Linked DNA regions of Lonchura striata. The protein of the gene in region 1 interacts with the protein of each later gene in a pairwise test. Links are inferred from orthologs where the notes say so. Each region holds a gene or a part of one and is shown in the gene's direction. Other genes may lie near its edges. The genes, in order: HTT, PPARG, NFKB1 and RNF20.

The links.
Region 2: the proteins of HTT (region 1) and PPARG interact in binary tests that used the Homo sapiens proteins (3 or more experiments, as listed by UniProt). The link is inferred for Lonchura striata from reciprocal best matches to the Homo sapiens genes HTT and PPARG.
Region 3: the proteins of HTT (region 1) and NFKB1 interact in binary tests that used the Homo sapiens proteins (3 or more experiments, as listed by UniProt). The link is inferred for Lonchura striata from reciprocal best matches to the Homo sapiens genes HTT and NFKB1.
Region 4: the proteins of HTT (region 1) and RNF20 interact in binary tests that used the Homo sapiens proteins (3 or more experiments, as listed by UniProt). The link is inferred for Lonchura striata from reciprocal best matches to the Homo sapiens genes HTT and RNF20.

The regions. Positions count from the first base shown.
Region 1 is NC_134606.1:9,473,787-9,481,807, forward strand, and holds the start of HTT (huntingtin), read left to right. Parts: upstream 1-5,016; 5' UTR 5,017-5,117; coding exon 5,118-5,218; intron 5,219-8,021.
Region 2 is NC_134614.1:4,878,639-4,885,920, reverse strand, and holds the start of PPARG (peroxisome proliferator-activated receptor gamma), read left to right. Parts: upstream 1-4,280; 5' UTR 4,281-4,347; intron 4,348-7,282. UniProt on the Homo sapiens protein: Nuclear receptor that binds peroxisome proliferators such as hypolipidemic drugs and fatty acids.
Region 3 is NC_134606.1:48,747,451-48,754,517, reverse strand, and holds the start of NFKB1 (nuclear factor NF-kappa-B p105 subunit), read left to right. Parts: upstream 1-4,066; 5' UTR 4,067-4,233; intron 4,234-7,067.
Region 4 is NC_134642.1:59,176,504-59,183,629, reverse strand, and holds the start of RNF20 (E3 ubiquitin-protein ligase BRE1A), read left to right. Parts: upstream 1-4,110; 5' UTR 4,111-4,215; intron 4,216-4,244; exon of another isoform or gene 4,245-4,371; intron 4,372-7,105; 5' UTR 7,106-7,126. UniProt on the Homo sapiens protein: Component of the RNF20/40 E3 ubiquitin-protein ligase complex that mediates monoubiquitination of 'Lys-120' of histone H2B (H2BK120ub1).

The DNA.
Region 1 (8,021 bases):
GGAAAATAGGGAAGTAACAAAAGGTTTTTATAAATACCTACATGGTTGGAGAAGTCATCATTTCCCTGATTAAGGGGTTTGAATTTTTAAGGTCTTAGGCTTGTTGTTCTGAGGCAAAGGTGACTGTATAAACACCAGACATGTAGGGTGACTGTCTGGATTTAATGTGTGTGTAGAGTAACTTGAAATTTGGGGAAGAATACCATGAACACAAGCTGAGTAATTTTTATGAAGAAAATACAGGAATTAGTTTTAACAGATTGAAAAAAAAAAAAATCTGAAACTCTATTTATCATGTATTTCACGTTCTCCTTCTGTATGAGATGGAGAGGAATCTTAACTTTAAAAAAAAATCACTTCTCTATTTTGGAGTGTTTGGGCTTAACATATATCTTCCAGGAATCTGTGAAGAAAGAGGGCTAAATGAAAGGGAAATTGTTCCTTAGAAGTGGTTATTTACATGTCCGCTTTTTTGGAAAAAGGAACTCCTTGTAAAAAAGTGAGAATTTGTTTTTATTAAGTTTTACTTATTTCACAAGTGTAATTTCACAAGTTTTTCCTTAAGTTCAGAATAGTACTATTGAATTGTTTTTGAGTGAATACATGTTTGTTCGATTATGACCTAATTTCATTGGGTTTGGGGTTTGGGTTCTTTTGGTTAGTTGATTGGTTCTTCCCCAACAGGCTCAAGATGGCATTGTTGTCCTATAAATTTGTCCCTTTTGGCTAGAAATACGAGCACATAATAATGACTGCATTTATCTGATGTGAATCCCCTGGAGAATTAGAAAAAACAAGGAACTGGAAGGATAAGCAATCAGCATAAGTCTCCTTACACAATACACAGAGGGAAGATGTTATGCTGTTTAATCTAAGGTGACTTTACTTATACTCCAGTCTTTACTGGAATATAAGGAGCTTGGAAGTGCATCTTGAAAGCAGGGAAAGGCTAAAGAGAGGGGAGAATGCCTGAAAGCAAAATATCACGGTGCAAGAAATTTAATATGAACTTAACTCTTGAATTTTTTTAGGACAAAGCTGGGACAAAGAAGGGGGAAAATAGCAGGTTATGTTTACTGATCATGTGGCCTTTTACTTCCATGAAACTGTTGGGGTGGGATGGGGGAAGCCAACATAATTTCTTGTAATTCAGCATGACTTCATTCTCTAGACCCATGTGTTAGAAGGCTTTAACAGCACTGAGACAATCCGATGTTCTTCTGGTGCAAGATTTGGAAAGACCTATGGAATTCCATGGAGTTATTTGCATGAGATCAACCCTCCTTTCCTGTGGCGTGTTTCCAAGTATTTGTGTATGTAAATCTTCATGTTTGCTTGCAAGTACCTCAAACCTCTCTATTTAGCTCAAAATTCAGAAACTGTGAAACAATGTACCAGTGTCTTATTGATTTACTTAATGCTTTTCAATGTTGTGACCAGAAGAACAAAATCTTCATGCCTCAGGGATTTTTTTTCTATTAAGAAAGCTGTCAGCTTCCCCCTGTCCCCTGAGGTGCGTTCATAATAGAGATGGTATTGTTTCTGGATTATAAAAACAACAGAACAGTCTCAGCTGAAAAAATGAGCACTTAAAACCAATAGTAAGTAGGGAAAAAACCTGTAGTATGTGTGTAACAACAAGAGTGTTACTGACAAACCTTAGCCTTTAATATCACGTTCTTTTTTTTTCCCCCCAAATCATTCATAAAACAGTAGTCCTGAATGTTTTTGAGTATGAAAGAGAATTATCTCCAAATCAAAATAAAATCATCTGGTTTATAAATCAATGATAGAAGCTATTGAAACCAACTAACAATCCATTATTAGAATGCACTTCAATTATTTTTCGAACTACACTGATGTAAGAATTTCTTCATTGCCATTTATACAGATGGAGAATACTTGTTTACAAGTTACTAAAATATGACAACAAAAGTAATAATTTTCTATGGTTTACAGTTTAGCATTATATGAATTTAACATGGGACTTATCTTCAGTTTAGTTAGTATAGGTTTTCAGAAACACTTCTCTTTAGGAAGTGAAATTCTAATTATTGGAAAGCATCTTTAAGCTGAAGATTTGATTTTAATTACTCACTTCGCTTATTTGGTGATGATTATGTCTCTTCTGAATGAATTAATGAAATATTCTTTTTTATTTCATAATTGCTGTTGTGGTGTAACTTAAGTTTTGCACATGACATGTAGGTAACTTTTTTCCATGATCCAATTGTGTCCAAAACACCAGAATTCTTTCCAGGCATAGGAAGCTGACTGTTAAATGTGATGTGTTACTTCCAGCATCTCCAAACCACTGACTGTTTTTGTGTGAGCTGTTTTCCTGGACATTCTAGCATTGTAATTCCTAAAATAAAAGCAAAACACTGCCACATATCTCAACCACATGTATTACTGTCTAATGTGATTTATTTACCATGTCTATCATGGTAGCTGGGATTGAAAAAGAAATAAAAAAAAAGAAAATTGTAATTAAAATAAATTTCCAGTTTCTTGAAGCAGGAAATGTCTCCTACATAGTGTAAGCTTTTTACCAGTGTAAGACAGTGGAATCCAGGAAAAAATGCCCCAGTTCTGCTGTACTGGCTCAACTGATACCTTATCTCATGGTCTGGATCTAGACTTTGGCATAAATTTCCATGTGAAAAGACAGAATTATCGGGATGGGCTGTTTTTCATTAGTACATTTACTGTAATTTTATAGCATGAGTTGAAGGACAGAGCCCCCAAATGCTCTCCAAAAGGGCTTCAAATTAAATGACCTTAAAACATTCAACTGTGCTGTGACATATTGCAGATGATCCGAGCATATGCCAAACCATGTGGGCCAGCAGTGTCACGTACCAATTACCTACTGAATTGTTCATGGAAATGCAGAAATGCTGGCCAAAGTGGGACTTCAGGTTAGGGTGAAAAAATACTCTTGACATGCTTATCTTAAAAGCATTAAATCAAGAGGTAACTTAAGAAACAACATTAAAGCATGTTTCTTTTCTTTCCTTTTTCTTCTGGAGGCTGGGATTAATTAGTTGTCATCCCCTAAATTTCAGATCTTCTTTTAGGTATGCACTGTTAATTGGAACTTCATTTTTCTTTGAAGTAACGCTGACTTTACAAAAACACTTCTCTAATCCTGCCTTGCTTTTTCTTGCCCCTTACCTCGTTTACACCTCTTTACTTTTGTCAGAGTGTGTGTTTGTGGGACAGATCAGTGACGTGATACCTGCAAAACCATGGATCAGTCAGTTTGGGCTGGCAGAACCTACTGATAGAAAATGCTGATACCCGGAATTACCTCCCAGTTAGCTCACAGCTAATGAGCCTCAGCGCTGGAGCTCGGGACAGGGAGAACAAAGAGCGCCGAGCTTGCGGGCAGGCACGGCCTTGGCGCTCCTGCCCGTGAGTCAGCAGCCCGCAGGGACTGGCACATCGCATGGAAAGCTTCAAAACAGCCTCGCAAGGTGGCTTGGTTAATCTTTGATAAGACCTTATGCTCTTTTTACTCACATTTATTTCAAAGTGTGGAGTGGCACATGCACAGAGTGTGCAGCATTCCAACTCTGCTGTCATCTCTTATCGTGTATCATTTGCTAAATAAAAAATTCATGATTATCCACATGTTCCAGAGAAACGTTTCTGCAAGCTTTATCATAGAATTATCAGAAATTCTGGTCTTACCTTAAAAGCTCACATTTTGTAGCACTTCTATAATGAAATAAGGTTTTGTTCAAGTTGAATTGCTTTCAGGGCTAAGGATAGGTTTCCTTTCAGAGGACTGTTTCAAATAGTTTCTTTTATTAACATACTAATAAAATTAACTGGCAGAGAGAATGCTGTTCTAGTGAGTATTTGGCAAGAATGTTATCTATGACTTCTTTTGCCCTGAATTTTCAGAGACATGAGCTTTGCTTCATTTCTTCATGTCTGCTAACAATAACCAAGCTGAGTTACTGGAAATTTATTTTCTTAGAATTCCTGAGTTGTTCTCCATTTTTACTGCTGGAACCGGTTTTGTGTGTGTGAGATAAATTGAATTGCCAGTTCTCATCAGCTGTAATTTAATGTCTGTATTAACAAGTAGATATATTAAAATCAGTGGTTGCAATTGGAAACTTAACAGAACTGTCGATTTTTTCTGTTTACTAATGGAATCAATGACTTGAATATTCAATACTGTCGCTCTTGTATCCTGTATGTGCGCACACTAAGTATGCTCTGATAAAGCAGATCCACACTCAGGAACGCAGCGCTGAAAGGCCAGCACGTGCGCTGCCGAGTTTTAAGTGTCCTGTTCCTGTAAGAGTCTCTGCAGCCTAAAATAAAACCGGAGTGCCGGCAGCGCCTTTGGCCGCCACTTGTGCCGCGGGGGCTGGCGCGTTACCTGCTGCGCACCCGCCACGTGCGGCCGCACAGCGCCTGCTCTCGCTTTGCGGTGCCGCTGGGAGCGCGGCTCCCCGCGGGGCAGTGCCAGGGGCTGCCGGCGGCTCCCCGGGCCGCTGCCAGGGCCGCTCCCCGCCCGCGGCACCCCCGGTCCCGCCCGGTCCCGCCCGGCCCCGCCCGGAGCCGAGCGCGGCCCCGCCGCCTCCCGGGCGCCACCGCCGCTGCCGACAGGGGGCGCCGCAAGAGCCGCGCTCGGCCGCTCCGGCACGCGGCGAGGGGCGGAGCTCCCTTCTGATTGGCCAGAGCTCCTGTCGCTCTGGCCGCTGCCCCGCCCCGCCGCGGCCCGCGTGTCCCCGTGTGCTCCGACGTAATGGGGCGCGTGACGCCAGGCCGGGGTTGCCATGTGCGCACGCGCGGCCGAGCCCCGGCCCGCGGCCCCGCTCCGGGGGGGCGGGGCGGCCCCGGGGGCGGGGCCCGCGCGCGGGGGCCGGCGGGACGGATCCAAGATGGCGGCGGGGCGGACGGGAGGCGGCCGCGGCCCCGAGCGGCGCCCGCCCCATTCATCGCGGCTGTGACGGGCCCGGGCCCGCCAGAGCGCCGGCACAGCGCCGGGAGCGAGCCCGGGGCAGCGGCAGCGGGACAGCACTCGGACCCGCCAGGCGCCCGTGACAGGGCGGGTCGGAGCGCGGGCCGGTGCCGCCGGCGCGGGCGGAGCGGACATGGCCACCATGGAGAAGCTGACGAAGGCCTTCGAGTCGCTGCGCTCCTTCCAGCAGCAGCAGGGCCCCGCCGCCCTCCCCGAGGAGCCGCTGCAGAGACCGTGAGTGCCCCGCGCCGGGACCCGCGGCTCCCGACACGCGTGTCCCGCGTCCCGCCCGGCCCGGCCCGGCCCGGCCCCGTTCCCCGGCAGCGGCGGCTCCCGCGGCCGTGCCGCGCTGCCGCTGGCGGCTCTCTGCCCCGCTTCACACGCGGAGTAACTTTTGGGCCAAGTGCGTTTGAAAAGTCACCCGTGCGGGAAATGGCCGGGAGGTACAGCAACGCTGTGCGGCTTTCACAGGCTGGTTCTAGGAAGGAAAGCCTTTTTTTCACTTAGTACACTGCTGCAAAAAAGACCAAAACCCTTAAGCATAACTTGAATAAAGCACTACTTTGAGCATTTTCTCTTGTGATAACTGCTGAAGCGCTTTTTGTGAGACCTTGTTTTTCTGTGCTTGACGCTTTCTGCATGAGTGTCCTTTTTCTGAACTATCTGCAGCCGATTGTACCGCTTTCCTGAAATGAGGGTTCAAGGCTGAGCAAGAGAAATTTCTTCCACTCTCTTATTCACTTTTCATATCTTTACCTAAAGTTCATGTTGAAGTTAAGAAATGTTTTGATGTTTGTAAACTGCAAATTTGAAGAGTTTTAGTCTGAGCTCTGATGCTTTCAGAAGGAGATGTTGTGAATGTCTGTGACAAAGTTAACGTCTTGTGTGCTGCATAGGGACCTAAGAGAAGATGGTTTAAACATTCCTAATTCTTAAGTGTAAGGGATAAACGTGTTAGATCCATGAGATATCCAGGTTTCCATGGGGGGCATTGCTGGGTGCCCCAGGGCAAGGAGCTGTTCAGTACCGCGGTGCTGCCCCTTGCGTTTGCACCCCCTAACACCAGCCTTTGCTGAGCGGGTGTGGGGGCAGGAAGGTTTTTAGGGATAAAGACATGAGTCACACAGGTACTTTTTCTCCTGCTGTTGAGGAGAAGGTGGAAGCAGAAGGATTGAGGAGCAGGTAATTTCTAACTTGGCAATTTGTGGTGCTGGCAGGGGAAGTGGAGCAGTGGCTCTGGGCTCCTGGCCACCCGTTCCCACTGCACTTTCTGATACAGTTGCCAACTAAATTATCACGGTTGGTGTTGTTTCTCTCTGGAGAATGTTGTCTCAAACAATCACAATGCATTTCCACACTTCTGATGTTTAATAGGTGAGAAAACTCATCTTCTTCATGAGCTCGTTGTTCTTAGGTGCCTTATTGGTCTGCAGGGACTAATTTCTCTGCTGTGTGCATTTCTTTTTGCTAGTACTTTGTGTGACATGGATGAACATCTATTTCCAGTCTTTTCTGTGTGCTATTCAAATTTCTGTCTTGTTACTGGTGAGAGAGGTCATGGTATTGCAGGAGAAAATCCTTAGAATTATTTGTGATGCTTGTGATATTGTGCTTGGTTTGATGGTCTAAATTTAGGTATGTTCTGCTGTAAACATTAAAAAATTAGTGTTGGAGTTGTCCTCCTTGACTTTGCTTTGTGTTTAAAAATAGGCTGTTTTAAAAAGCTGATGGGATTGTATGCCCCCAGGAACTGGACAAATTCTGTGACAGCACTGAGCCTCATAAAAGCCAGTGAAAAGCTATTGTGGCAGCCTTTGCTGAGGCCTCTCAGACTTTTAGTGAAATAGCAGGTGACATATTGAATGTAATTCACAATACTATCTGCATTTGTTTTTTCTTGTTTGTAGTAGACTGAAAAGGAAAATTGTGTTTGGGGAGAAGTGTTCATCTTTGTTGTAGTTCTGTGTAAATAACACATACACATCTTGTAGTTCTGTGTAGTAAGTTCCTATCATCCTACTGAGGACTGTCTCCTGTTATGAAATGTTTTAAGATCAGAGAGATTGGGGTAGAGAAGAATTAATTGTTTACCCAGCAGGTATTTATATCTTTCTTCACTTTATTGTAAGACAATGACTCCAGAACTTTTGATAATACCATTATCCTGTCTTTTTTTATTAAAATATTTATTAAATCCAAGCTTTTACCAAGAAGATAAGATCTTTTTCTGTTTCAAGAGATGCTAATCAGCAATAATCATGTGTTATACCATGCAGTCAGATGTTAGTCTCTGGTCCCCTCTTTCTTATCTCTTGTTGGGGTTTTTTTCCCATCTATGTAAAATTGAGTTCTCCTATCATATTGCTTCTATGCACTTCTGCTTAGGCAACTAATTTTCTTCCTTATATTTTTTCAGCTTTTTCAGACTGACATTTTGTTAGAAATTGGATGTTTTGTTTTGGATCACAAAGCTCCCACTAACTTAGTTTACTAGTATGATGTAAAAATTTAGAGTTTGATTTGTGAATCCAAAAATGGATTTCTTACATTTTCTCTTGTCAATTTATTGTAGTAGTCACTTACTGTAATTGTTTTCAAGTTTTTTACATTTGATTCCAACCATTACCTTTACAGAAAAGGTACTGTAAAAGCCCAAGCAATATGGTTTTTTTTCTATACTTTTCAATTTTTCCGTGTCTTTTATGTTTGACTGAAGCTGTAGATTGGTTTGGTCAGTGCTATATGGCGGCCTAGCATTAATGTTTTGTTTTACTGAAGATCACACAAACTGCATGGGTATTACCTATGGGCCTGCTTGTCAGAAGCGGTTCCTTGATGGTTTTTTACCATGTCTAGGGTATGTAGTACATCAGTTCTGGTTAATTTGACAATCCATCATTGCCTGCATTAATGCACCTTGTTTCTGGGTGTCCCCTGTGTTTGGACTGAGTTTATTTCTTGATCTGATCCACTCATATTTCTGTTTGTTATTAAAATAATAGTTTTTAGTTTCTGTTATTTTTGTCAAGATCAATGT
Region 2 (7,282 bases), on another chromosome or scaffold:
AATCACCCAAGAAATTTGGATAAACTGGTTCTAAATGAGGCTCAAAATGATCTCTTGGTTGCTTTAAAAGGATTCCTTCAGAAATGAATTTTGGATGGATTAACATCTGACAGATACCAGTATGTGCTTGAGCTCCTTATTCCTATATTTTCTTTTACCTGCTAACTGTCTGTGATGTGCAATTGGGGCCCATTTAATCAGAATGCAATATCATATTCAACCACAGAAGAGCCAGACAGTCCTAGAGAGGAAGTTATTCCCTCCAAGATGAAATCAAAGTTAAGAGTTGGGGGGAGTCTGGAGGTCAGGAAGAAAACCATTACAATTTAGAGGTAGGCAGGCTGGTGTGATCTTGGCTTTCATGAATTTAAAGCAGACAAGGTTTGGATTTTTTTCTCTTTTTATCCAAGCCTCGAAGTTCAGGCAAAGGAGGCTCATTTTTAAGGGGTTCTTGTTTTGACCCGCTCTGCAGTTATCTGTGAAAAATCTGCATCGTGCCTGCCTCTATCCCTCCTGCTGGATCCCGGGAGAAACTCACCCAGCACAATCCTGTACTCAAGGAATGCAGTTTATACCCCAGGTTTTGCCATATATCTGTGTAAAATGCTACTGATAGCAGCTGAAACTCTGAATTCCCTTCAAGTAAAGAGTGTGCAAGCTGTAGATAGGAGTGTGGTGTGATATTATGACTTACTTTTTAAAAACATGCCTTGCCAGACCAAAAGCTGCCAGTAAAGACAGAATGAGATATGCTGAGGCAAATAAGATATGCTTTTTTATCAATAAAAGGACACCAGATATATGAATTAAAATATTGCATTGCCCAAGAGAAAGAACACGGGGTAACTTTAAAAAAAGGCAGCAATACAGGACATTTTTAACCTTTTTAAACTCCATTCCTTTAAAGCAATGCAATTTGCACAATCAGAACTTGCTGCTCAGGCTGTCAGACTTCTGGCTGCACTCTCAGAGCAGGAGATTGCCCTCTAGATGTTAAAGGTTTGGCTACTTCTCCATTCCATCCCACAGCACCAGCATAGGACACACTGCAAGATTTTAAACTTGAGTAATGCAGCCAGAGACTGAGCCCAAACCCAGGGGAAACATAAAAAGTCAGTAAAAGAAGGAATTTGTGTCTTTGCAGAGATGGGAAGGAGTAGAAATCCTTGCAAGGCTGCCACTCTTTTCAAGCCAATTGTAAAACTCACAGCATCACCTCCAATAAATTAGTTTTTCTAGCCATAAACACCTACCTGGAATTCCTTAGAAATTGTTGCACAGAAATTCCTTCACCAAGATGGAAAAGAGAAATGAAACCACTCAGGGGAGGTTATTTTGTCATTGCTAACACCCTTATCCATCTGGAGATTCCACAGAGTACTCATTTCAGTTTCTCATCTCAGTGAGAACTATTTTTGCCATATGATTCAATTTCATCTACTTCGAATTTTCTGAATAATTGAAACACATAATGTACAGTCAGTCAGTCATAACTGCAAGCAGAAATAATTTTTTTCAGATGCAATAAATGCTTCAAAAAGACTCACCACGAAAAATGGGCTGATTAAAGTTAGTTTAAAATGCAGTTCTTTCAGATGAAAGGAATTAACTGATGCCTTTATACCCAACAAGAAAAACAGAGTATAATTGATCTTGTGTGAAGGCAAATTATCTTCTAATTTTAAAACCAGAACTGATGCTGAGAGAGTCTTTTCTGCTTCTCTTTGAACTTAGGGGAGAACTGCCCATGGATCAGCAAGGCCTGAGCCTGACATTTCACTCTTGTTTCATAACTCTGAGAGCTCCCAGCCAAGCTTAGGAATCCTCACAGATAAGGAGGGGAGAAAGTCTGGATCATCAAAAACTGCACAGTCAAACAATGCAAACAAAAACTTATGAGAAGCTGATAAATGTCTTTATTATGACCATTTCATTACAGTATAAAGCAACTTGATTACAGAATAGATAATATATTTGTAGTCTGTAGTATTTCTTTACCAATACAGAAATGATTGGCTTTCTCTGAGAAAAAAAAAAAAAAAATCCACTCTTTGTTAAGGAAAAAAAGAAAAACAAAAAACAAAAAACAGATTAATTCAAATTATAAATAAGGCATACTTTTAATTACCAGAGAAAATGTATGGGCTCTTCATCTTGTCATTCTTCAAACTAAGATTAGCTGTCCAAAAGAAACATTTAATGAGATATTAAATCCTAACTAGAAATCCGTGTTAAGCAGGAAATCAGACTAAAGGATCTTTTCCTTTCCTGTCTCAATCTGCTAAAATGCATATTTACAAAATCTAAGTAATTTTTACGTAAGTTATCGTTCTGGTTTTGCTTTATGAGTTCTGTTCAAAAGGTGAACTCAGTAAAGAAAATAATGCTTAGAACAAAAATAGACTGATAGTGTATTTGTAATATTCCTGTGAAAGCTGTGTTTGGCTGGTTTCTCTGGACTGACTTAGAGATATCTGTCTCACCCATACAATTTAATAAAAATCCAAACTGTGCTTTGTATTTCTGCCTTTATTAAAAGCCTGGGCTCAAAGCAGGACTGCACAGTTCCAACTGGATGTTATCAATACCTTCCAATTTTTGGAATGCTTCCAGTTGAGCGGAGTTTGAAAACGTTTGCAGGTTAAATTTTAGGGAGGGATCCCAAAGGTTTGATTTTTGGGGAGGGATCCCCTTTTTTCAGACATTTAAGCTAAATGGGGAATTCTCCAGCAGCAGAGCAGCAGTTCTGTTCTCACCAGGGCTAAATCAGAACTCTGTGAGGGTCCAGCTCAGATCCTTCTCCTTTTAATTTTCTGTTGAAATTCTACTTCAGCTCTTGCAGTACAGTGGTAAAAATACTAGTAACCAAGGTATTTTAAACCTCTTTGTTAAGATTGTTTTGCCCACATTTGCCTCTTTGTTCATCCATGGTAATTCTGAGGGTTTGTTTTACTTGTTTGCAGGACCTGGCTTCTAATTCTGAGCCAGGGTATTACTGGAATAGGTTATTACTGCAGTATGTTAAAATAATTTTTAAAATACCCAACCCAAACAATAAAAAAGAACCACTTAAAAAAAATATTTCCACATTTCCAAGGCGAAAAAAAATTCAGATGAAAGGGAAAAAGCAGGAATTGAAAGAAAAAATCCTTGATCTGTCAAGACAGAGGTAACACCTCAAGCCTATACAAATAGACAGATAATTCTCATAAAAATTAAGACAAGGCTTCAAGCCTCTGCAGACAGAGAGATTGTTCTCATAAACAAAAGGCTGGAGGCAAAGTTAGTATCTGTAGGTAGTCCAGGTATTTTGACGTGTTCAACCCTAATCTATAAATTGCCTTCAGTATACAAATAATAAAGCAAATGTGGGCTCTCTTTCAAAATGCTTGATGACTAAGAATAATGAGGCAAATTTGGGATCCTCTCAGCCTTCCAGTGATGTCCAAGGGATCAGGAGTTTTTCAAGATAAACTGTTGTATCCCGGGGCACCTGGAGTTCCAGGATGACTCTCTAAAGCCTGTTGATCTTATGCCTTTTTTTTCCACATCTAACTTCTTTTTCAAAGCCTCAGAGGCTGAGATAGAGGAGGTGACAAGCTTGTTTGGGCTTGCTGCCTCTGGAGAGGTACCGAGCACAGCCTATAGCGCTCGGCTCTGCATTCCTGGGAGGGGGGAAGAGCGCCCAGAGATAATCTCAAGCGAAAAAAAAAAAAAAAAAAAAAGAAAGAAAAAAAAGTGAAAAAGAATTCGCTTTACCTCCGTTAGTGCTAAGAACCTTTTCAGAAAAGCCTTTACTCCTGTCACAGCAGGACACAGCCTGACGTGAGGCGACCCAGCCAAGCAGGCAGCGCAGAGCGGAGCTGGCTGCAGCATGGCAAGGCAAAAGAGAAAGCAGCCGGCAGGCGGAAAAAGTGAATTTTCAGTTACGGGAGATTACGGGGAGCAGAGATCAAACTCCAGCTGCGCTGCGGGGCCGCGCTCTGCCCTCGGCCACACGCGGCTGCTCCGGCTCCGCGGCCGGGCCGGGCCGGCCGGGCGGCCTGAGGGGACAGCGGGGCACGAGCGGCTCCTCCTCCTCCTCCTCTCACTGCCCCGCTGCCTCTCCCGGCCCGCTCCTCTGCGCCATCCCTGCGGCCGCCCCCGGTCCCCATCCCCATCCGCTCCCCGTCCCTTTCCCTGCCCGGCCCCGCTCGCCGTGGGCCGGCGGAGGCGGCGCCGGGGGGAGGCGGGCCCTGCCCGGGAGGCCGGGCCGAGCGGGGGAGTTTATCCCGCTGGAAGGGAACGGCAGCTCCCGCTGAGAACTGACAGCGCCGGGGCAGTGCGGCTGCGGGCACCGGCCCCGAGGTGAGGGCGGCGCGGGGCTCAGGGAGCCGCGGGCAGCGCGGGCAGCGCGGGCAGGGCCGCCGGGGTGCGGGGTGCGGGGATGCCTGGGTGCGGAGTGCCGGGGTGCGGGGTGCGGGGTGCGGGGTGCCGGAGTGCCGGAGTGCGGTGTGCCGGGGTGCGGGGTGCCGGAGTGCCGGAGTGCGGGGTGCGGGGTGCCGGGGTGCGGGATGCGGGGTGCGGAGTGCCGGGGTGCGGGGTGCGGGGGTGCCGGGATGCGGGGTGCGGGGGTGCCGGGATGCGGGGTGCGGGGTGCCGGGATGCCGGGGTGCGGGGTGCGGGGGTGCCGGGATGCGGGATGCGGGGTGACGACGTGCCGCGCTCCGGCCGGGGCAGCCCGGGCGCTGTGTCCATGGTGCTGCAGCGGGTGGCGGCGGAGGATGCTCGGCGGCGGAGGGGCGATGTCCCGCCCGCAGAGCCGGAGGTGATGGGGAGCGCGGATGGATGGGTGGATGCGCTGCGCGCCGTCCATCCCTGCCGCCCGTGCGGGAAGCTCCGCCAGGGCAGTGCTGAGCTCACCTGGCTGCTCTCGTAATGAATGAACAGCACCTTTTTTTTTCCCCCCTCAATTTCCCAATCGCAGAAAGTCGGGGAGCCTCTCACAGCCTGCAACAACTGAGATGCTATGTTGAAATATATTGTGTCTTGATGGCATGCCTCAGGTTCGCAGGAGCGTTTTGTAATCTTCCTGGTGTCATTTCTCCCCAGGGTATTCTGCAGCTAGAGAGTGCAAGTTCCTGTGGTGTTGTAACTTTGTGGCCCCGTGTACACACGACAATACTATGCTGACTTAACAGGGATGCGTTCATTAATATTAGTGATGTAAGGCTGGTATTTCTTGTGATCAAAAGCTCAGGGAATTACCAATTTCTGGATGTCCTTTGGAGTTTAGGTTCCTTTAAATCAGATGGATTGGTTTTAATTCTCCTTGAAATAACCAGGGGTTTGGATTTAGATTTGTGACTTGCTGTCCCATCTGTGAACAAGCTTTTGCTGTAGAGCACTGTTACAATGTTCCATTTAAAAATATCTATTTTCTGGTAGCAATTAGTCTATCATTTAATAAGTAATTTACCTTTTAAAAGGTTACTATGATTTGTTACTAGTTAACCAAAAATTCCCAGTGTACACCAAGCAATTGTGACATGATACTGAGTGCTCGCCTTTGAAAAGAAGTTTCATATGGTGTGCTCTCCTTAATAGCAGAATTTGGTGCATCAAGTGATGTGTTTGACATCATTATTCACTTTGGCTGTCACAAAAAAAAAAAATTGCTGCAAAAATTGCTGAGAGATTTAATTATGAGATTACAAGAAATCACTCCTAGCAGTGTGTTAAGGCATGTGGCACAATATAAGCATGGGCTTGTCAAGGGGAGAGAGAGCTGAAAAAAAATAGTTGGCACTGACTTTGAATGATAACCAATCAGAAATATAATATAAGGTATTTTTACACAGGCAGCTTTTGAATTTGAATGTTTTTAGGCATCAGTTTTGTAAAATATCTCACTAACTTGTAGTGGTTCAGAGATTCTGTACTTCTAAACAGCCTTAAGATGGTCTGTGTTTCTTAGAAATGCCAAAATCCTGGATAATGCAATGTATTTAACATCAGCATTCAATGAAACTTCCATTAGAACACAGAATATACAACTAATACATTTTTCTGATATAAATTTGTTTTGTATAATGAATCCTGAAATGAAGGCGGTGATATATTAGAATTTAGTTGAAGGATATTGAAGCTAAGCCTTTTAACCTTCCTTATGGGACTGATAAATGCACCCCTTATCAGCAGTGCTTTTGAATCTGACTCTTTTGTGAACTTTTAAAATAACCGTAAGTCCATTTCTAAGTTGATAAATTTAGGCATTGTTTCAATTACTTTTAGTGTAATCTCCTCCTTATAGTAATGGCTAATAAAATGAATTTTGAAAACAATTTTATTGTAAAAACAAGAAAAAATTAAAAGTAGAATGAAAAATCTGTCTTGTACAAAGGTGGACCAAATAATGAAAAGTAAAATTAATACTTTTTTTCACCTTGATTGGTGAGGACAACTTCAGGTTTTTTTAAATGTAATCTGCTCAGAGTGGAGTTGAATATCTTTCCTAGCCCTTTTCAGTAGCCTAATAGTGAATCAGTAATTGTGTCTATTTGATATTCAGAATCTGTGTTTCTTTTACAAGCTTTTTGACGAGGATTATTCCCATAATAATCACGCAGTAAAAGTTTCCAGTGCAGTTACTCAAGAGGAATCATCCTACAATTACAAATTCTCCATGAGTCTTTTGAAGTCTTGGATAAAATATTTTCCATTAGTTATTGCTACTAGGTTCATTTTTTAATCACTAATAGGTTTATTAAATCCAGCATGATGTTAGATGATAAGTGCTAATTATTTCATTCTGTATTTCTAGTTTTTTAACAGCAGGATCTGGTTTTCAGGTACTTTATGCCAAATGTTCTCTGTGTGTCAGCTCACTTTTTGTGAACAAGAGGAAGAGTTAGAAACAATCAAAAGCAAGAGAACATTGATGTACTCAAGTCCCACTCCTCACAAACGGGAGCTGGGGGTTCCCAGTAAGAGATCAATTTAAAGGACTTCATTTACAGAGTACCTGGGGAGAAAATCTCCTCCTTGCCCCGGCTTTTTCCCTGTGGGGGCTTTTCCAAGGCAGAATGAAAAATGGAAAAGCCGTAAGATTTGTCTTTGGATTGATATGAACCATCAATTGATTCCTACATTAAATGATAAACCTTTTCTATTTCTTTTGTCTATTCCCCCTTCCACTTTTTATTTTCCACAAAGGGAAGATCCCAGGGAGTTTTTCCAGTTGTGCTTTCTTTTAAATGTAGGGTAGTCCACTTTTCCCAGAGGTGCTGCTTTCAGGTTCCAG
Region 3 (7,067 bases), about 39 Mb from region 1:
CTACAGTGCTACACTAATGGTTCTCTGAATGGTTTCTACAAACACAACCATTTCTATTCTGTCAATACATGCACATACTCTTGTACAGTGTTATTCTGCTCGGCCACTAAACCTGGGCTGCCAAGTAGGACCAGCCTAGGCCACACTTTTGGAAGAGAATGTATGTTCTGCATGAAGCAGCTTCAATGCTCTGATGAACTGGTCAGCTCACAACTTCTCACAGTGGTCTGGGTAGCTCCATTGAGAGCAGCTACCTTGCAGCAAGTTCACAGAGAATCTATAAACCACCACTTTTGGAGTAATCATCTGCCAGTGGAAAAGAAAAGAAGGAAGAAGGCATAGCATTACACAGACAAATTAAGGGAAGGCTAGGCTAACCATTCCAAAAATTATATATATCAAATTGCCTTCTCTACTTGGCTCTTTCAATGTCCTTTAGGAAGTGATACCCTATCATGTATGACAGTTGTAAGTAAATGTTGAGCAGTGTTCCCTTTCTTGTTTACTTCTAGCTCTCTCCAAAGGCTCCCTTTTCTCTGATAATTATACCCATCAGCCATATCTACAGCTTCATGGTTCTCTTATTTAAGTCTACTAACTCCCCAGTACCTGTCCCCCAGTAGTTATTCACTACTGAAAACTCCTGCCTTCAGCTCTGGCAGTCTTACCCAAAACATCAGAAATTTAGTCTTTCAGCAGAGATACATGCCTAAACTACAGTGGGGTTAATATGAGATCCCATGTCTGATTTGTGGCTCTGGAGGAAGCAAGTAAGAGGTACATTTGGGATGTGGCCTATGTAATTACAGGAGCCACCACACTGTTCAGAGCCTTGCAGGGTGTTGCTCTGATGAAGTATGTGATGAATTGCAGCCAGTTCAACATCCAACAAAAATGACAGAGATGATACAAAGTACTTCTCATGAATGCTGCAACATAGGGATTCAGCAGCACCATTAAACTCTACACCCTGCTAGCTGCAGTTCAAATGGTTGGCTTTGCAAATGTACATTGGCTATTTAGAATATTTTTTTCAAATATAGTTTCTATTGTCAACTTCATTAGGTCTTCATATATAGTCTCAGAAAGATGACACCATCTTTAAAATACAACTTTTTTTTTATTTTTTTAACATATTTTCTTCCTGTGATAGTGGTGGATTCAAGCTACAGGAGACAATGGCAATGCCAACAGCAAATATTGGCTAAACACTGACAACTTCTACGAGACTGAAGTGTGTTAAGATAATCATTGGCTACTATGTAAGGCAAATCAGTTTTTAAGTTAGCAGTTCTGGATTATCTGGATGAGAAAGAAATAATGGATTGACCAGAAATAGATTTGGATAGTATGGCATAGTAGCTCAATGAAGATGGGCAGTTGAAAGCTTTAAAAGGAAGTGTCTCTCAGTAGCTATTTTAAACTTTCCTTTACCTTTTCCTGCTTTAGCCTCAAACCTACTACGTCAAAAGGAATGAAAAGAGCCTATCCTGATTCCAATACATGCGTCAGAAACAGAAGACAAATAATGTAAGAAACTTTCATGAGTTTTTCCAATCCAGACATATCAATTAAAGACTGATTATTTTAAAAAATCTCTGCTTGTCTTAGATGTTTATCTATCATTAGTTACATGATTAAAAAATACTGAGGCCAAAGATTTCTGACCTTGGAAAGAGATCTGTATATCTGGAGTCCCAGAGCAAACCAAGCAGAGAAGAGGCTCAGCTTCTAAATTACATCTGCATATCAGGAAACTTAAATGTCCCCCACCTGACTGAGGTGAAACAGCCTGGTTAAGCGTACAGCTAGAAAGCCTTTCCTTCAGTGCACCTGCCCAGCCGCCAGAGACATGGCTGCAACCATTTCACAGTGGTTCAACAGCTCAACAGCAGGCATTTGCTCCTTTGGGTTCAGGTGTGATCACCTGCTCCTCATCTCTGGGCTGAGATTGTCCAGCTACTGAAATAACTTGATGGTAATAGTGGAAACCAGTGTTATTCAGGAAACAGGCAGCACTTCATCACTGCGAACCACTGAGCCTGTATTATCTGCCCGATTTCCTCAGTGGTTGGAGCAGAATTATTTGGCTCTTCAAGTGGGAATCCTGGGCTATAAAGCAGTACATTTATCTAGAGTGTTCTGTGAAGATAATTTTACCAAAGTGTGGGCTTACAGCCTGGCACTACTGTGGGTGTCAGTAGAAATAACACTTCAGCTATGGTATTAAGCTCTAAAAAAGGCAAATTTATGCTTTAAATATAATTGAGAAGAGGATTTTATTTTTGTGGATTTTTGTGGAAGCTGCTTAAGATTTCACAGGGAAAGCTAAGCCTGAGTACTTAAATGCATGTCCTTTTAAAATAAATCCACCAGGTAAGTCTCCTTAAGTTTTGGAATTTATCCACCTTGTCTGATTTCCTGGTACTTGTTCATACATGTTTTGCCCTGTGAGCACACCTTTGATTAGGTATGACATGGCACCTTTCCTTCCAAACGAATCTTATTTTGAAACATCTTTGTATTTAAAATCCATCTAGACTTCCTCCTTCAAGGGCTTTGGGACACAATTCTTTCCTCACAATTCTTTCCTATTAATTCAATGCATTTTCTTCCATTAAAAAAAAAATAATATTGGTCTTGAATATCCCCATATAATAAGGAAAACATGTTTTACTCGGAAATGCTGAGTCATTCTCAGCTCCCAGTATGTACTGGGAAGAGAATGGGGGACTGCATTGTTAGAATTGCATCACAGAGCATGAGTGGCAATCCAAAAAAAGGAAATTACTCCCTCTTCCTATATATTTATGTCTAACATGTAGAAAATGTCATTTTTCAAGACAGCAAAGAAAATCCCTTTCATCTCCGAGCTCTCTTTTGCATTCTCAGCTCTCATTTTAAATAGTGTCTCTCTGCTCCAACACAGAGATGTGACACAAAATGTAACATCTGAATCTACTCCCTTTCTGGTAAAAATACCCCTTTCATTTTGTTCCAATCAACAGGTGGCTTATGATTGGCCTCTCTTCCTTTTGAACATATTTTTGCTCTAGGTTACAATTACTTGCTTCAACACAAAAAAAGCAACAGTCATATTCCTTGGTTCCTTTATATGTTTGAGGTTTTAAATTCTTATTTTAAGCTATGATTTTTGTTAATCTCATTCATGAAGCCCCATGTTATGTGGCCTTAGCATAACAAAACTCCGCAGAGGCGTGCTGCTGACTTTCTGCACAAACACACATTCAGAGAGCTATGCTGGATGCTCATTTGAGACACTCGTCACCCTTAGCAAACCAGACGTTTTAAGATTTAGCATAAAAATATTTGAACTTGTTTTACATAGTATTTGTGCCAATTAAACGTGGCTCTAGCTGCCTTGCTTCAGCCTTGGTTAAATGTGTCTGGGAGACTTGATTACCATGCTGCAAACCTGGATTCTGGTATTAAAATCACATTATTGATGGTTGGCACTGTTCAACAGAAGCCAAGTTACCTGGGAGCCTGCTCTGTCAGAAACTGTGTAAGCCTACACACAAATGGTGCCGTGCAGCCCGTACTCCCTGCCCAGCGGCGGCAGGCATCGGGCGGCAAGAGTCGGAAAATTTCCTTTAATGAACTGCCTGGGAAAGCCAGCTAGCAGCCAGGCGCTGCGGCAGGGGGGTTAAATTCACCCCATGCAGAGTCTCTCTCTCGCCTTCCAAACTTTATATCTAGAGGTCAAAAAAACTTCGGCAGCCACCGGGTCGGGCCCGTATCCACAGAGATGTCGCGAATTCCGCCGTGGTCCAAGGAGCGTGGGCAAGGACGGGATGATTCTTGCGGCGGCGTAACTGCCCTGGGATGAAAGGACCCGCGTGTTTACGCGGTTTCACCCGGGCGGTGAGCCCGTCCCCGGCTCGGGGACCTCGTGGCCAGCGGGCGGCTCGGTACAAGCGCGCCCCGGCCCCTTCCCTGCCGCGGCCGCGCCTCCTCCCGCCCCGCCCGCGCGGCCCTCCGCGCTGCCGGAGCGTCAGCGGGAATTTCCAGCAGGAAGTGCGGCGGGCCGGCGGCAGGGGCGGAGGCTGCGCAGGCCGGTGCCGGGCGGGCGCCCTCGCCGGTGGGGCGGGCGGAAAGGAGGGGGGACTCCGCGCGGAGCCGGGCGGCGGCACGCCGGGTTACATGGCGCGGCGCTGAGGGACCGCCGGCGGCACAGCACGACGAGGAGGAGGCGCCGCCAGCTCTGCTCCGGTGAGCCCCGGGCGGCCCCGGCCCGCACTCGCTGCCTTCCTTCTCCCCTGTCTCCGCGTCCTCGCCGGCGGGAGCGGGCATTCCGCTGGGCTGGGGCAGGGATTGCGCGGCTCTCGCCTGCAGCCAGCCCGGGGAGGCGGCGGGATGCCGGCTTTGCTGCTGCTGCTGGGTTACCGGGCTCTTCCTGGCGAGGGAAGGGGTGCCCGTGACAGCAAAGTGAAAAAAACTTGCAAGCCCAGCTTCTGCCGCTCGCGTAGCGGGTGCTCGTAGGCAAAGGAGGCGCTGCTTTTGTCGCTTTTGGTTTCGAAGGTGACACACGGACGCGCTGAGCCTGGGACGCGGCCGGGGCACAGTCGCCGGCCGGGCTCAGGAGTGCAGGTGGGCACCACGGAAACGTGGGCTGGTTCTGGCAGCTCTGGTGAGCTGGTCTTGGCTGCTGCCCCAGAGTGCCGCAGACTGATTTAGGAGGTACGAAATAGTGAGGTTTTTAAACGTAACGTAGTTGCAAGTGGTGAAACCCAAAAGTTCTCGTCGCGACCGGGAGTGTTATTGCAGTGATTACTCAGTTACATTTGACCTTGAAACCCAAGAATATCGAACTTCTCATCATCGCAATTATTTTTTCATCTCTTGGTGCTTTCTGCTTTGGTGAAGGAGAGCTGCTGACTTATTTTACGTGAATGTGAATCGGAGTATTGTTTCTGTGACATGAGGTATGTGCTCTTGGGCCGTTATCATCATGTGTACTGCTGCGTATTTTCAAAATAAGTAAATCTCAGTGCCTGTGAGCATTTGGGGAATAAGACTTTGGAGGCAAGGGATCATCTGCTGCATTTCAACTTCCTGTCTTAAAATGCTCAAAATCTTCGCTTAAGAATAATGTTTTAAAGGAAATACATATTATTTGTTATCAAGATATTTTAAAATAGTTCTAAAATGATGATCATATTTGGCATGTTTCGTGCTCCAGAAGTCCTCTTTTCACTTACTCTGTTCACAGAGAAAAGTGGATGAATTCTTTGCCGTATTGCCTTGTGCCTTACATGCTGCAGGGTGTTACCACCAGCACTGTCAAGCTCACAGAACAGGGCTGAAAATAGAGCACTTCGATTTTATTGACATCTGGAGTCTCTCTGCTGTGGACTGTGTAGTATCAACTTTTGAAATAGTATTTCAGTCAAAGCACTTGTGTTCTTTCATGAAAGAAAGTAGCTGCCCGTTCTAGGAAAGCGTTAACCAAGACGTCATTCTAAGATAGCATCTTGTCAGCAATGTTTTGTAATCTACAGAAATGGCTACAGTTTATGAGAAAATGAAAGAGAAAAACGTAGTCTGTAACCATCCAGAAACAGATTCTCTGTTCCGTAATTTTCCCTGGCCTGAGAATTTAACTAACAGTTACGCAGAAATACTATTGTCAGGATGTGCCACAGTGCATGGAGATTTCGGGGAACCTCAGTGCTGAAATCTATGCAAGACATGTTAAAGAACTTAATTTGAAATACAAAACAGAAGGGAAAAAGCTTTCTTTCCACCCTTTGTCCCCTTTATAAAGAAAGAAATGTCAGTCAGTGGTAGAGTCATCAAAAAATGTAGTTACTGTCTCGTGCAAGAAATGAATACATTTTGAGTTAAAATTATAAAACAGAGCAGCTTTATATCACTTTGCATTGTGTCGTGTGTTTTTAAAAAACAGGTTTGTAACAGATAAATTAACTATCTGTATTCACTTTGTTCCGGCAACACCTCAGTAGTGGTTTGGTAGTATTTATTTTGAAATCAGAAAAGTCTGCTGGATAAAAGTGTTGGGACAGAGAAAAGGAGTAAGAGGGAGACAGGGTCGAAAGCAGACACTGGTGTTTCATTTATGTGCACGTTTGATGATATCCTGCTTCATTTGTTCAAAAATAGCAGTGCTGGTTACTTCTCTGTTACTACGTATTTTACTTTTGAAAATTAATTTAAACAATAAATGTAAGTTTTCTTTAAAATTTTACTTCTAAAAATTCAATAATAAATTTAGTTTACTTTTTTTCCTTGAGGTGGCATTATGTGACTTCAATAATAGATACCTGCAAATAAATATCATTGATGCAAATTTGCTAATTAATAGATTTTTGAGGTTCCTTTTCATTGCTGCCTTTTCCAAAACCTTCCCATGCCACTTTCTCATGAGTACATGCAACCAATACATGCAAAGATATATGTTCTGTTAGGAATTCATATTATTGTGCATATTGCTGACTCTGGAAAGATGGGAACTAAGTTTGAAGGCCTGTGAGTCTTTACTATCAGAGGTGCTTGTAATGCAAAGTAGATTTCATTTTTGAAGTTGCAAAGATACAGCGAGAGAAAATGTATCTTTTACTAGCTTACTGTTGGTTTTTTGGTATAGCTAGTGATGAGAAAATCCACCTGTGGTCCTCAGAGATGCTGATTAATTCTACTGTGTTTTCACAGATCGCTCCAAACTACTTGCTGAAATACTTTCACCTTTCACTGCTGTGTTTGCCAACTCTAAGTACAAGAGTATCAGTCATAAATAAAATTACTTGTTTATGTAAGCAACTAATGAAAGCTCTACAGTTAGTTAAAAATCCTTTCTTTCAACGTACTGATAGCTTTCTTTTGGTTCTCTGACAAAATAACACAGCTATTATAAAACAAAGAGAAGATAATGAATGGTTCAGGCAGGTAATGAAAAGGGCAATTCCTGGTTTTGGTCACTTTTAGCTCTGACAGAGGTATTTTAGAAGTGGAAGTTGTAATTTGATGTCCTTTAAAATAAGCTGTGAACCTTTTATGAAGTTCTGTGTTGATAAGATCATAATTAT
Region 4 (7,126 bases), on another chromosome or scaffold:
GCTGGAAAACTTTTACTTTCTCTTGCAAAATGAAGTAATGTTATTTTGTATGGTCACTGGGCACTTTTCACTAGTAAACTCTGCACTCTGTCAGAGGCACAGAGTGCTAGCAATTTCTCTGCTTTTGCTAACTGCAAATTTTAGGAGAGTGCTTCTGGAACTAAAGGTCAGATGCTGGCATGAGAGAAGTGGCCTGTCTAGGAAAGTCTGAGTACCATTTGTACAAGGTTTTAACTACACAAAGATTCTCAGGAAAATTGTGTCAAATATAACTATTTTAAAACTGCTTCAAATCTCTAAGGGGCAGCCTTATTTGAAATTTAAGAGGTTTTGATTCAGTTTAGCTGAATGGTGTTTTGTTATTCCACCTAATAATGGATGTAACATGGAGGCTCAAGTATTTCACTCCTAGTTAATATTTTTAATTCATTCTGGTAATTTTTTTTGTTTGAAAGTCTTAAGGTTAAACTTAAGCAAGATATAAAAGTCTGTGACTAGTCCATGATCTAGAAGTAAAACCTGCTATAATGACATGAGCTACATTGGCAAGGATAAGGCTGAAGGGTTTGATTAGAGATTCTAGAATTGATTTTGCGAATTCTGTAATTTTCACTGCTGAGTAATTATTATCTTCAAATGCAGCTTGTTTTCTTTCTCTGGTCTCTAAATGCACCAGTAAAAAGCTTACCAGGATTCTGAAGAGCCTGTCTTTAAAATTCAAATGCATCTACTGCAATTAAATAAGTTTGGATAGTTGTCATAAGCTCCTTTACAGGAAACTCTTCATATCACTATTTTCAGGACTATTTCTATTTGCTCAAAGGAATCCTCTGCACAGACAGCAAATTAAGGTGGTGTGGTGCCAGGACAAAAAAAAACCAAAAGAGAGTGACTGAGGGAAAGGGAAAGAGACAGTAAAGCCTGTGCTCTGTTTCCTGGGCTTTTCATTTCTCCTTATCACTATGGCAGCTGGGCAGTGAGGCAGCAAGACAATCACTAATAATCCCTGCTGAGACTTTCCAGCCTGGGTTTCTCACTGACTGAAATCTTTCATTCTGTCTTTTTCAGATTGCCTGCCAGGATGATCTGGGTGTCAGTGGAGTGAGAGAGCTTCTTCAATTCATACACATATTCTCCATTTAGCATTAAGTGTTTCACTACAAGAGGAAGACAACTAGGGTAGGAACATGACAAAACAAAAGTAAGTGAGAATTTTTGTGCAGCATATATAAGCAACTGAAACATTTCTATTCAAGTTCCTTCTGGTCAGGTGACAATGGAATTTCTTTACTACACTTGGGCAAAATAGGATCAGTGTCTCTCTCCCCAGATGTGAGTCATAAGTATCCTATTATGCTACTTAGGAAAGAAGAACTATCCAATTCTAATAACAATAACAATAACAATAACAGAAAAAAAAAAAAAAAGTAATGCAACTTCTTTCAATGGAAAAGCAAGAACTCACTGCATTGGCTACAGCTCTATGTGTGTTCATTTTCTTTAGTCAGCTTGTCTGTCAAGAGAAAGACATCCCAAATAACATAAACAGCAATTGTTGGCTGGATCAAGGATGCTGTGGAGTGATACGTTTCTGTGTGATCTGATCCACTGAGTGGATATCATTAGGTAAAGTACCTGATCTTATCAAATGCAGTTCCACTGTTGGCCCTAATTGATGTGAACCTTGCACAGCACCCTGCAGCACCACCCTTCATTCCAGTTCATGCCCACAGCAACAACGTAGACTACTTCACAATACCTGAGAAGAAAACCAAAAATTATCCTATTTTCAGAGCACAACCTTAGCTACAATGGTATGTTTTATCCTTACCTTACAATGAAGTAAGGATAAAGTCATGTCTAGAGGAGAGGACACCAGAACAATCCTCAAGGACAAAATTTTGAGCAAGGACTGAAGCTTTGTTCTTCAAAGCTTAGCTTTTAAAATTAATCTTGTTGCTGCTTATCACACTTTGGTAACATGAAAGTGCCTCTTCCACAAATAAGCCATTAAGACAGGGATGTCTTTTAAGACACTGGTGTTTCTATCTTTGCTTCAAAGCACCAATGATCAAAATAGCAGGACAAGATAGAATCACTCTGCCTGTAGCCAGTGTATGAGGAAATTAAGGGGGGTTAGGAAGCTCAGTACAAGCCCTTCATCCTATTTATTTATCTATTGTAATTGTTTTTAAGAAAAAAGCTACATTTGCTGTGAAGTCAAAGACCTGTACACACATATGGCAGGTCTGGTACTTTTATTTCGAAGTATGTTCCACTAATACGCATTTTAAATTTTTTTTTTTTTTCTTTCTCTGACTTTTCCTTCCTTTACTTCACCTCTATGATCTGATCTAGAAGGCACGGAATAGATGTGCCAGCTGACACAGGACTGAGGGCTGTGTTTCATACCTGCTCTTCTGGGTGCCTGGCACTGCATTATCACAAAGTAACTGCTATGGCTCCAGTTAACAACCCAGTTAATGAAAAGGCTCATTTGTGTGCTGACACAAAAATACATCTTTACCACAGAAATATTGATGCACATGGCTTTTCTCCACTGAATTTGGAATCCAGTTATCTCCTCTAGGGTAGTTAGTCTGCTGTGAGCGTTTTGGGTACTGTTTTACTTTGCCCAGTTACTCGTTGCCTGTAGATGTCACTTTTCCACTTTATAATCTTAGACTGGCTGCTTCTTATGTTCTTGAGCCCATTTTTTTTTTTTTTTTTGTGCTTCAAAGCTCAGCTTTTAAGTGTGCTTTCCTTGAGTGTGCAACCTGCAATCCCTTTCTTCATCTGCCATTGACAGCACCTGTGTTGACTGGCCAAAGCTCTTCTGTTCCCATCTTTGGGATGAATCTGTGCTCTGCTATTTCTTCAGGAGACTCCAGGCACACAAATCTTCTCCCAAAAGAGAGGATTTCCCTCTGCCCTCCAGGTGAGAGGGCTCCCAGACCATCTCCCATAGAGCCTTTCCTCTTGGAAGCAGCACAGTTCTGCTGGATCAAAGATAATTTTAGGTACTGTCCTGGGTATGCTAAAGCTCCATATTTACCTGTATATTTGCAAACACATCTGGGTAATACATGAATAGTTCACAATGCTGTGTCTCCACCTCCCACCTTACCAAAGAGGATGCATTTCACACCCATGTGTTGGGCTTTCATAGCAAATTTGGTGGCTACTACTACTCCTACAACTTGAGGGAAAGACAGTGTTTGAGGTTTTGTGGGTCTTTTTAATTTGGAATAGGGTTTTGGAACAGGTAATGGGTGATGCTCAGCCTGGTCACAAGGCTGTGCACTTCTTGGTTATAGGAGTTTCAGTCCAGCCAGGTCCCCTTTAGTGGCCACAGTCTGAGCATACCAACACTGCAAGCTCCAAATTGTCTCTTTTCTAGGCTTTCTTACACAACTTTTTTATTCAGTTCATGTCCAGGTCTCCGGTGGTTTTCTTCATACCAGGCTCCCCTCTGCTTATGCTAAGAACATGTGCACATTCTTTCCAAGAAACACCCAGCTTCAGTCACTTCACTTCTTACCAACTGTAATTTTGTAAAGTGTTCAACTCTTCCTTGTAGTAATGGCAAGTGAAAGACTACAAGGTTCAGGAAAAAGCAACCGTATTTGCCATATTCCTGGTAGACTAAGTAATTGCAAATTGCTGGAAGACTCTCTGCAGTTCCTCTGCACTAGCATTGGATTGCTTGGCTCTCCCACTTTCTTCAAAAAAGAATCTCAGTTATTAATACAAATATTATGAATCCCTCTCTTTCTCTCCTCACCACTCAGATTTTTTCTTGTATTTTTTTCCCTCATCTGCTGTTCTGTCTCTGCATAATTCACGCAGTTAATCTTTAAACAATACTGAGGAAAGCAGAACATTCTCGCTATTGGAAGGGAGCAAGGGTGTGGCCTCTCCAGTGCCGAATGCAGGGGGACGATCACTGTCCTGGCCCTCCTGCCACACCATGGCCAGGACAGACCATTGATGTTTTGCCCACATTCAGCATCTGTGACGCCCTTGCCCCCCGGTCCGGCCGGGACACGGCTCCATCCCGGGTCGGGCAGGGAGGCGGCCGCTCCGCCGGGGCCGCGTGTGGGCGGGGGAGGCTCCGCCCGCGCCGCCATCTTTGGTGCGGGTGAGGGCGCCGGCGTCTGGTGCCGCTGCGGTCCCGCCATGTCGGGCGAGGGCAAAGTGGCGCCTCCATGACGGGTGAGGGCGAAATGGCGGCCGGAAGGGGCGGCGGGGGGCGGCCATTGCTGACGGGACGGGGTGCGGCGGCGGCGGAGGAGGAGGCGGCGGTTACGGCAGCGACGAGGCGGCCGCGGCGGCTCTGTGGGGACGGCCGGGGCCGCAGAGAGCCGGGAGGTGCCGTGCGGAGGACGGAGGGGGCGCTGGGGGCTGCAGGCAGCGCACACCCGCGGAGGGAGGGACGGGCCCGCGGCGTGTCCGGCTGGCGCTGTGGGGAGGTGCCGGGTCAGGGGCAGGACCCCCGCGGGATGCGGGAGAGCGGAGGAGCTCTGGGAGCGGCTGGTGTGTGGGGAAGCTGAATCGCAGAATCGCAGGGTTGAGATCACCCTGTGCAACCCCCTGCCAAGGCAGAGTCACCTGGAGCAGGTGGCAGAGGAACACATCCACATGGGCTTGGGATGTTTCCGAAGGGGAGAGTCCTCGATGTTTGGGGAAGCTGCTCCAGTGCTCTGCCACCCTCAGTGTTTTTCCCCATGTGGAATTTTTTGGGTTTTAGTTTATGGCCACTGCTCCTCATCCTGTTGCTGGGTAGCACTGAAGAGTCTGAAACACCCTCTTAGTACTCACCTTGGAAATAATTGTGTGCATTAATGAGATCCCCTCACAGTATTCTCCAGACTAACCAGGTCCAGATATCACAATCTCTTTTTATAAGACAGATGCTCCAGAGGCGTCATCATCTTTGTGGCTGCCACTGGACCCTCTCCAGCAGCTCCTTGTCTTTGTACTGAGGAGTCCAGTCCTGGACACAGCACCCCATCCATGCCATGCTAGTGCCAAGCAGAGCAGAGGGTTGGAAGTTTTCCCCTTTCTCCTCCAATGCTTAAAATATTCCTGCTGAGTCTGATCTGAAGCCATGGAAAAATCCTGTTAGGCTTGTGGATGGAACATTGTTTGACTGGAGTTCCTGCTGGGGAGTATAAACTCAAATAATAGTTTTAAAATCTGCCCAGTGCTTTTATTTCTGTTGTTCTGTGTCTGTACATAAATCCCGGTTTATATGTGTGTAGTGTCTGTAGTATAGTTCCTGTACTGTAGCAGGAACATCAGGTGGTGGCAGGTGTAGTAAAGGTTTTTGATTTAGTTGTAAAATGATAGTAAGTAAGAAAAGAAAATGTAATTTGAGTTTCAATTGATAGGGCTTGTAATCAGAAATCCACCTGGTTTTTTTTAAGTAAATACAGAATGACTGAGTACAACTTACTCTGTTAGTTAGCAGAGCAGATCAGCAGTTCTGTGTCAAGAAGGAAATAAATATGACATTCAAAGAAATGTACATTCATGATTAGAGTTCTTTACCTCTTCTGTGTGTGAGCAGCAGAAAGGATTGTCAGGCACTGGAAGGGCCTTGTCCAGGGAGCTGGTGGGTTCCCTGTCTCTGGTTGGATGTGGCACCCAGTGCCATGGTGTGACTGACAGGGTGGTGTTGGTTCATAGGTTGTACTCGGTCTCAGAGGTTTTCCCATTCTAAATGATTCTGTGAAAGACTGGGTCTGTGGCCATAAAAAATTAGTGGGTTGGGGTCTTGTGTACAGTGTATGAGGAGGTTGTGAGAGGGGAGCTGGAGCTGAGAGGGGTGATGCCAGGAGGCAGTGGAAGGGGTATTTTGTCCCTGGACAAAAAGTGTGAAAGGCAGTGAGCAGTGCTGGCTTGCTGGACTGACAGGGGACAGATGAGATGTTTTTAGTGATAGCTGTTCCCTTCCAATTCTCTTGGAATTCCACCTAAAGTCAGAGCTGCTGCTAAGAGAAGGAAAATGGTTCAGTGGCAGTTGTCTTTCTTTGTAAATTTGAGATGTAGTTTAATGTTTCTGTTAAAAGATACCTCACAGGATCTGTGCTGTTTCAGTAACTCAGAAATAATTTTTATACTATTTTGCATATGATGAAGGGCACTGCCAAGCTGAGATGCTTGTGAATTGCTGAGATTTGGCAAAGCAGTGTACGATCTTCATCTTCAAAACACAATGGCCTTGTGGCTTTCAGTCGAACTGCTCAATTAAAGCAGGTAGGAACTGGGAGGTTCAGTTCATAACCCCTAGTTTGACTGTAAATGCCATTATAGGCTTAAATGGAACAAGTCAGGATTTACTGGTACAGTCTGCACTTCATTCACTTCTGGTTTCATTCAGTCTAGAGGCTGCCACAGCACCAGTGGCTGTGGGAGAAGACTGCAGCTCATGTCTAGTGAAGATTGGTTGGTTCCATGTTTCATCTCCAGTCACTTCCATTTGTATTGTAAACCTTTTGAGGATACACTTGTAATTTTGCTCAATAATATTATAGGGAACTACAGGAATTACTGTTCAGACATGAGAAAAGCCTTTTTTAATGTTAAGGATGATCAAGCACTAGAGAGGCTGCCCAGAGTCATGGCTGAGTTTCTGTAGCTGGAGATGCTCAGGTTGCCTGGACAGGACCCTCAGCAGGCCCTGCACTGGACATGCTTTGGCTGAGCCTGCTTCATGCAGGGCACAGGGCAGGTGGCCTCCTGTCTTCCCTTGCAATCCCAGCTGTTCCGTGATTCTCTAGTAGTCCAGAGCTTTTCAGACTGGATTGACTTAGGAGTAGGTTCTCTTGAAAAATGTTCACATCTCTCCTGGTACACAGCAAAACTCTTGGAATGGGTCTTTGCAAGCCTTGGCTCCAGGTTGCTTTTCAGTTCTGTAGGTTTTGTAAGCTCTCTAAGTACAGAGGTCATTTATTTCCAGGGTGTTGCTACTCTCAGCTTTGACTGGCTTTGTGTGTAGATTCAATAGGAGCAGTTTGGTTGTTGTGCAGTGAACTGGTGCCACATCCACACTGTCTCAGTTTTTTCCCAAGTCTAACCTGACTCATTTTTGTTAATGCAGAAAAGCAGAGAGTGAACCTGG